Ovis aries: one gene and its partner. Each later gene encodes a partner of the first gene's protein in a complex. Links are inferred from orthologs where the notes say so. Each region holds a gene or a part of one and is shown on either strand. Other genes may lie near its edges. The genes, in order: FLT3 and FLT3LG.

What was found.
Region 2: the proteins of FLT3 (region 1) and FLT3LG are in contact, whole or in part, in a crystal structure (PDB 7QDP), measured with the Homo sapiens proteins. The link is inferred for Ovis aries from reciprocal best matches to the Homo sapiens genes FLT3 and FLT3LG. Residues at the interface, in NP_004110.2 of Homo sapiens: Asp180, His279, Gly280, Phe281, Gly282, Met300, Ser301, Thr302, Tyr303, Asn306, Arg307, Met309, Arg311, Ser333; in NP_001191431.1 of Homo sapiens: His34, Ser35, Pro36, Ile37, Ser38, Ser39, Asp40, Lys44, Lys87, Glu99, Asn102, Thr103, Glu104, His106, Phe107.

The regions. Positions count from the first base shown.
Region 1 is NC_056063.1:32,310,525-32,314,338, forward strand, and holds part of FLT3 (receptor-type tyrosine-protein kinase FLT3), read left to right. Parts: coding exon 1-54; intron 55-1,037; coding exon 1,038-1,146; intron 1,147-1,407; coding exon 1,408-1,586; intron 1,587-3,084; coding exon 3,085-3,191; intron 3,192-3,291; coding exon 3,292-3,424; intron 3,425-3,505; coding exon 3,506-3,610; intron 3,611-3,814. UniProt on the Homo sapiens protein: Tyrosine-protein kinase that acts as a cell-surface receptor for the cytokine FLT3LG and regulates differentiation, proliferation and survival of hematopoietic progenitor cells and of dendritic cells.
Region 2 is NC_056067.1:55,671,203-55,674,944, reverse strand, and holds the end of FLT3LG (fms-related tyrosine kinase 3 ligand), read right to left. Parts: intron 3,255-3,742; coding exon 3,067-3,254; intron 955-3,066; coding exon 748-954; downstream 1-747. UniProt on the Homo sapiens protein: Stimulates the proliferation of early hematopoietic cells by activating FLT3. Synergizes well with a number of other colony stimulating factors and interleukins. Required for the development of B cells, and dendritic cells (DCs).

The DNA of each region.
Region 1 (3,814 bases):
ATGCAGAAAATGATGACGCCCAGTTCACCAAAGAGTTCACACTGAATATAAGAAGTAAGTGAAGAGGGTGGGATGAATGGGGAGAGTAGCATGGAGACATATATTACCATATTAAATTAGATGGCCGGGGGTGGGGGTTGCTATATAAGGCAGGGAGCTCAAACCAGGGCTCTGTGACAACCTACAGGGGTGGGATGGAGTGGGAGGTGTGAGGAGGTTCAAGAGGGAAGAGACGTACATATACCTATAGCTGATTCATGTTGATGTATGGCAGAAACCAACGCAATATTGTGAAGCAATTATCCTCCAGTTAAAAATAAATAAATCGAAATTTAAAAAAAGAACCAGAAGTGAAGTAGTCAAGAAATTTTATTTCACTCTTGTGACTCCTTAATGATGTATTAACTCAGACCAGAAAGAGCTAAGCAATGGCTTAGGGAAGGAGTGTGATGAAACTGTTTTGACCTGTGGAAGTGTTCTGAAATTGTATCTTCATATCTCCTGGCTCTGTTGATACACAGGCCTCTTTGAGGGCTCATCCTTTTAAGTGAAGATGCTGAGTCCATGTCCTCTCAGAAGGTGCTTTAGTGTATCACTTTACTGGTTTTAGTACTTTGAAAGATCATGTTAAGAAAAAGCCAAAAGTCATACTACCTGCCATTTAGTCATTTTAATAATTTTTGTTTCTTTGGTCTATGAAAAGAGGAGAGTACCTTTCATTGGACTTTTTCTGCAGATGCTTCTCCTGAAGCTAAGACTCATTTTAGGGTGACCAAGTAGATAGAGTCTATACCTGCATTCTCTCCAGGAAGGGTCTAGTGATGGACAGGGGGTGCTCCCCAGAGAGGTGGTAGGGCTGCCTGCACCGAAGGTGACAGGACAAGGGGAAAGGACCCCCCTCTTTGAGTCCTGCCTGAGACAGCCTCCAAGAAGCACAACTGCTTAGAGTGCATGGGCAGCCTATATAAACCTGACTTTGAAACCCTTTCTGAAAAGCGCACTGCTCCATGAGCTTGTTTTCCTCTTGTTTTCTACAGGGAAGCCTCAAGTGCTGGCTGAGGCATCTGCAAGTCAGGCTTCTTGCTCCTCTGATGGGTACCCTATACCATCCTGGACCTGGAAGAAGTGCTCAGACAAGTCCCCCAAGTAATGAGGACCTTGGCCTCTCTTGTGTTAGAATATGAAACTCTCTCTGACGTACTGACGCTTTCTCGTGAATTCAGTTTAAGAAGAAACGCTAGAGCATTTCAAATGCTTACCTTCCTAGTTGATCATAATTCTCAATGATCACAGATTGTTTCTGATAACCTATAATAGATGTGTCTCTTACAAACCCCATTAGAGAAACCCTTACTTCCAATCTGATGACAGTCATGCCCCTTTGACTTCTCTGCCATTTATTTTCAGCTGCACAGAAGAAATCACAGAAGGAATTTGGAATAAAAAGGCCAACAAGAAAGTGTTTGGACAGTGGATATCGAGCAGCACGCTGAACATGAGTGAGGCCATCAAAGGGTTCCTGGTGAAGTGTTGTGCCTACAATGCTCTTGGCACGTCCTGTGAGACAATCCTTCTGAGCTCACCAGGTAGACAGCAGTCGCTATTGAAACATGCCACCTTCTGGAATTCCCCACTAGAAGTTAGGCCCTGTCTTTAGCTTTTATTTGGGGGAGTTTTACAAGAGTGTGCAGATTCAGTGTGTGAGATGAGAAGGCTTTTTGAGTCAGGCAGGAATCCCCACTGAATATACATGTTCTGTAGTTTAAGGGCAGAGTGACTTCTACTGATGTTACTGTAACTCATGAATTCAGGTAACGTGGGTAGTACCCCAAACTCCTGGTATAGTGGGCATCTACCCTGACGACCCTGATGCTCAGTGGTACGGAATCTGCGTGCCAAGCAGGAGTCTCGAGTTTGATCCCTGGATCAGAACAATCCCCTGGAGAAGGAAATGGCAACCTGGAGAACCCAGGTTCTTGCCTGGAGAATCCCATGGACAGAGGAGCCTGGTGGGTTACAGTCCCTGCGGTCGCAAAGAGTCGGATGTAACTTAGCAACTGAACAACAGCAATGACAAACAGAGATCCAGATCCAGGGAGATGGATTTAGTCATTTGGAGTCTTTACCTCTTTCCCTTTCAGTTAATCTCCTTATTTGCCTTTTAGCCTGCTGTTTTATCATTTTTGGTTTGATATTTAGAGCCCTCTGAAATTAAGCAATTCTGAAACCTGGCCGCCTACACTAATGGTTTAGAATCACCAGCATCCCCAAACTAACTTCCCCACATTCATATGACAGCTTCACTGTGGGAACACAAGTTTCTTTTTTTTTTTTTTCAAAATGAGGTATAGTTGAGTTACAATGTTGTGTTAGTCTTGGGTGTACAGCAAAGTGATGCAGTTTTATATGTGCATTCTTTTTCAAATTCTTTTCCATTATCGTTTATTACAAAACACAGAATATGTTGATAGTTCCCTTTGCTGTGTAGTGGGACTGTGTTGTTTGTCTACTTTATGTCTAGCAGAAAAACACTCTTGATTCAGTCACATGTGTGACTTTTCAGATTCTTTTCCACTATAGTTTATTACAAGATATTAAATATAGTCCCCTGTGCTATAGACTAGGACTGTGTTGTTTATCTATTTTATATATGGTAGACAGATTTCTTCTTTTCTTTTTTTATCTGGCTTGACTATCCTATGGGTTTAAATAGATGTAATCCTGAAAACCCCTAGTAAATGATTTTTTAAATTGGGCTCAGAGGATTTCCCTGACCTACCAGTGGTTAAGACTCTGTGCATCAATGCAGGGGGCATGGGTTCCATCCCTGGTCAGGGGACTAAGATCCCACAAGCCACAGGGTGTGGCCAGATAAATAAATAAAATGGGTTCGGAATCATCTAAAATTTTCTGGGAAGGAAGTGTCCTTTATATGAATATGGCCTGACTTTTCTGTGGGCTTCTGTGTGTAGAGGGCTTGTAAGCATCACAAATAACAGCCCCTCGGGCAGGATGTGAGAGGTTTTAGCGAGCCTGCGATCTCCGGATTCTCACCCACTGCTCCGGGATGCTCTTCCGTTGCAGGGCCCTTCCCTTCCATCCAGGACAACATCTCATTCTATGCGACAATTGGCCTCTGTCTTCCCTTCATCGCCGTTTTAACCATGCTGATTTGTCACAAGTACAAAAAGGTAAAACCAAAGGTTAAAAAAAAAAAAAAAAAAGCCGTCACTGTGTCCCATATCTGAAGAATGCCCTGTGGCTGACTGACTCATTATTTCCTCTTGGAAGCAATTTCGTTACGAAAGCCAGCTGCAGATGGTGCAGGTGAGCGGCTCTCTGGATAACGAGTACTTCTACGTTGACTTCAGAGAATATGAGTATGATCTCAAATGGGAGTTTCCGAGAGAAAACTTGGAATTTGGTAAGAATCGGATGTTTCGCCTGTTTCCTTCCTGTGGGAAAATCCTCAGCGAATGCTCACTCACTCACACGTGTCTTGCAGGGAAGGTCCTGGGGTCGGGTGCTTTTGGAAAAGTGATGAATGCGACCGCCTACGGAATTAGTAAGACAGGGGTCTCCATCCAGGTCGCAGTCAAGATGCTGAAAGGTACAGAGACGCGCCGAGAGGGGAGGTGCCGCCTGCCGCCTCCTCTTTTCCATCATGGTTATGGGTACGGCTTGCCCGGCTTCAAAGCTTAAAAGGGAGTGTGTTGGGGTTGGTGTCCACTACGTCATGAATGTAAAACTCAAGTCCACCTCCTCTTCCTCTCCTCTGTCTGCTTAGGTGTTTCTCTGCTTTGCGGTTACCATT
Region 2 (3,742 bases), on another chromosome or scaffold:
GAATTCTGGAGGAGAGGCGGTTACCCCCTGAAGCGATGTCGCGCTGCAGGGCACGTGGTGGCCTGCAGGGGGCCAGGAGGGCTGGCCCTTCAGCGCTCCGCCAAGCCTTAGAGATGTGAATTCCAGTGCCTGTCTGACTTGTGATCTGACTAAATCCCTAGCCGTGTATGGGCTTCAGTGTCCCCACCTGGTAAACAGGTGGAGATAGTCTTCCGCTTGAGAGCTGACGAATGAAAGAATGACTTCTAGATGCCCGAGTGTTCCCCAAAGGAGCTACTCACTTTCTGGATTTTCTGGATAAAGTCTTTGCCTTGAAAGTGTCCCTTGACTGGGATGCCGTCCCCCCACCTCCGCCTCCACACCCCCTTTTCCAAAATCTGGCTTGAGTCCTTCCCTTTAGAGAACCTCCCTGATATCGCTCGGGCAGGCTCAGGTACCGCCTGGGGGATCTTCACAGTGCCTACGCCACCTCCATTAGAGCGTGTGTAATCGGGTACTGGGGCTCTCTGGGGCCGACGTCTTCTCCCGTCTGGACCAGGAATCCTGAGAGGGCGGGGCTGGTTCCGATTCACGTCTGGGTCCCAGCATTGCCCTCTTCTGGCCCTGGGCCCCAGGAGGACTCAGAAAATAGGTATTGAATGAAACATTGTATTAACTGAAAAACCAAACCCGAACCCAGACGGCCCCATACACACACCGTGTCCCATCCACAGACAAACCTGGCCAGAGCTGGTAGAAAATGATGATTTATATACAATTTCCTGGAGACAAGGGCTTTGTACAAAGGGGGGAAGGGAGAGCCGATGGTGGGTGCTGGCGTTGCCTCCATCCCGGGGGAACAGTGACAGGAGCAGTGTGGCCAAGGAAAGGACCAGGTTCTAGCTGACTTCCTCCAAGTTCCGACTCTGTGTCCGCTGGCAGGTGACTGCTCTCTCTCGGCCTCAGTGTTCTCCGCTGTAAAAGGGGATGATAGATGACTCACTGGGCTGTTTGAGGTTCCGTGGACAGAGGAGGGGAAAGTAGGAAGCTCAGGGTACAAGCTCAAGAACAGACTCAATGCTCAAAAACAACTCCATTCACCGTGAGCACTCACTATGTGTTTGGGCATTGCTGTCAAAGAAAACTTAGCGCAATGATGAACATGTTTTAGATCTGTGCTTTCCAAGATAGCCCTTGAGCCCAGCCCCAGTTGAAAACTGGGCATTCCTATTGTGACCAGCGAAACTGAGGAACTTAGTTTTTCATTTCATCTAATTTAAGCTTCAACTAATAGTGTGGTTATTGGGAGCGTGGGAAAACAGGGTATGAAAAGGGACAAGGATAAGAGGACAATTTCTCAATCGAAAATTGTATCTCAAAAACAAAAAGTAGTAAAAAGTACTGTCCAAAACAAATGCTGAAATGAAAAAAATCATTGAATTCAGAAACTGTTCCTTGATCCAATTATTGGAAAACTTCTGTAGGTTTCAAAGAACTTGAGTATAGGAATCTACTTAAGCAACTGTAAGTTTCATGGAATCTTAATATAGATCGAGTATTTCTAATAAAAGTTTCTCATATGAATTGAGATGTGCTGTGAGCATCACATTACACATTGATTGGATTCTGAAAACTTGGTATGGAAACAAGAATGTAAAAATATCTCAATAATTTTTAAAGTATTGATTGCACATTGAGATGACAAGATTTTTGGATACACAGGGTGAAATAACATAAATTCTTTCAGGTAACCTGTTTGTTTTTAAAAGATGCACTGGCACAATGTGGTAAATCAGCTATACTTCAATTAAAAATTAAAAAAAAATATGCAGCTACTAGAAAATTTAAAGTCACATGTGTGGCTTGTATTCTGTTTCCTATGGACAGTAAGTATTGCTCTAGGGGGTTTTTCGTGGTCCTTTCACTTAACCTCCTGACAACTCTAGCGTAAAGGATGATTATGAGTCTCTTGTACAGATAAGGAAACTAAGGCAGAGGAGTGAAAAGCACAGATGCTAGAATCAGAGGGCCCAGAGTCCAGTCTTGGCTGTCACTCAGGAGCTGTGTGACTTTCAGCAAAAGATTTACCTCTCTGAGCCTCGGTTTCCGCCAAAGGGAAATGGGGAAGATAATGGCCACCAGTTTCTCAATTAAGTGAGTTAATTCGTAGAAAGCTTCAGCACAAGGCCGGAGGCACTGAGGCACTCAACAGGTGAGCGATTGCTGCCAAATGTTTCCTTTGGGCGCTTGGGGAACCCACAGGCCCCTCCCTGCCTTTCTCCCTCAGGGTACCACCTACAACCCCAGGTTCCCAGGTTCGCCTCAGGGGCTTCTTGCTTCCCCGGGGTAGGAAGTCCCAGCTTCCCTTCCTTAGGAAGATGTTACCTCAAACATCTTCCAGTGCCATTTTTTTTTTTTTCACCCCACCCCCAGACTGGACAAAGCTGCTAGAATAACCTGAGCTTTTTCATACCTGGAGGGCTTTGCAGAGCCTGTTCCTGGAGGCGGCTCTCTCCTGGCTTGCAGACTCCTATATCCAAATACCTCCCCGCCTGCTGAGCTTCACTGTCTTTCCAGAATGCCTAGTGCCGGACTGTCCCTCCTCCTCCTAGGTTCCGCACTGGGCCAGACCCAGCGTCCTCTGCCCGCGCCCCTCCCCTTCCCTGCTCGCCCCAGACCCCCGACCCCACCACGTCTGTCACTCTCCAGCCCCGTCCCTCCTGACCCCTGACTCTGCCTGTCCCCTCCTCTCCACCCCGTGGTCCTGTCCCGGCCCCTGCTCAGACCCTGTCCTCTCTCCCTGGACCCTCACCCAGCCTCCAGTCTGTCTTCTCAGTCTGTCCCCCTCCATGGTCGCAGAGGGGTTTCCTTACATCCAGAGCTAACCCACTGCTTCCCTGCTCCCACTCTGTCACCCCCTACCCCCATGGCCCCCACATCAACACCAAGTCCAGGGTCCTCCAGTAGCCGCAGGAGCAGAGGATACTGGGGATGGGAGGGGCAGGGTACCGTGTCGCCCATGGAATCCGCCACCTCTGGTCAGCCCCTGGACCCTCTCCACCTGCTCTGCGCACCCCGCTGGCTCACCCTCTCCCCAGGGTAGGGTGTCCTCCGTCTCCTCCTCCACCGGCACAGGCACCAGGCAGCGGCCAGCAGCAGGAGGGCCACCGGCAGCAGCAGCAGCAGCAAGAGGAGCAGAAGAGGGGACTGAGGGGCCGGCAGGGACGTGGCTCCCAAGGCCCCAGGACTCCTTGGGGGCAGCAGAGTGGAGGAGTCTGCCAGGAGAGAGGTCAGGTGACTGAGAAGTAGGGCCAGGCCAGGGAAAGGAAAAAAAGGCCTGCCTGGTGCTGGCTGTGTGACCTGGGGGAAGGGGTGGGGGTAGGCTGTGCACTTCTCTGGGCCTCAGTCACCTCATCCATAAAGTGGGTATAATTATTATACCAACTTCATAAGGTTGTCACAAAGATTAAATGAGGGAATATACAGAAAGTGCTTAGAACAGTGCCTAGCACGTAGTAAGGTTGCATTTCATTGATTTTTTTTTAAGTCACTAATAGGACTTCCCTGGTGGTCCAGTGGTTAAGAGTCCACCTGCCAATGCAGGGGACATGGGTTTCATCCCTGGCTTGGGAAGATTCCACATGCCACAGGGCAACTAAGCCCCTGGGCACAACTGCTTGACCCATGCGATAAAGCCCATGGTCCAAAACAAGAGAAATCACTGCAATGAGAAGCCTGCACGCCAAAACTAGAGAGTACCCCA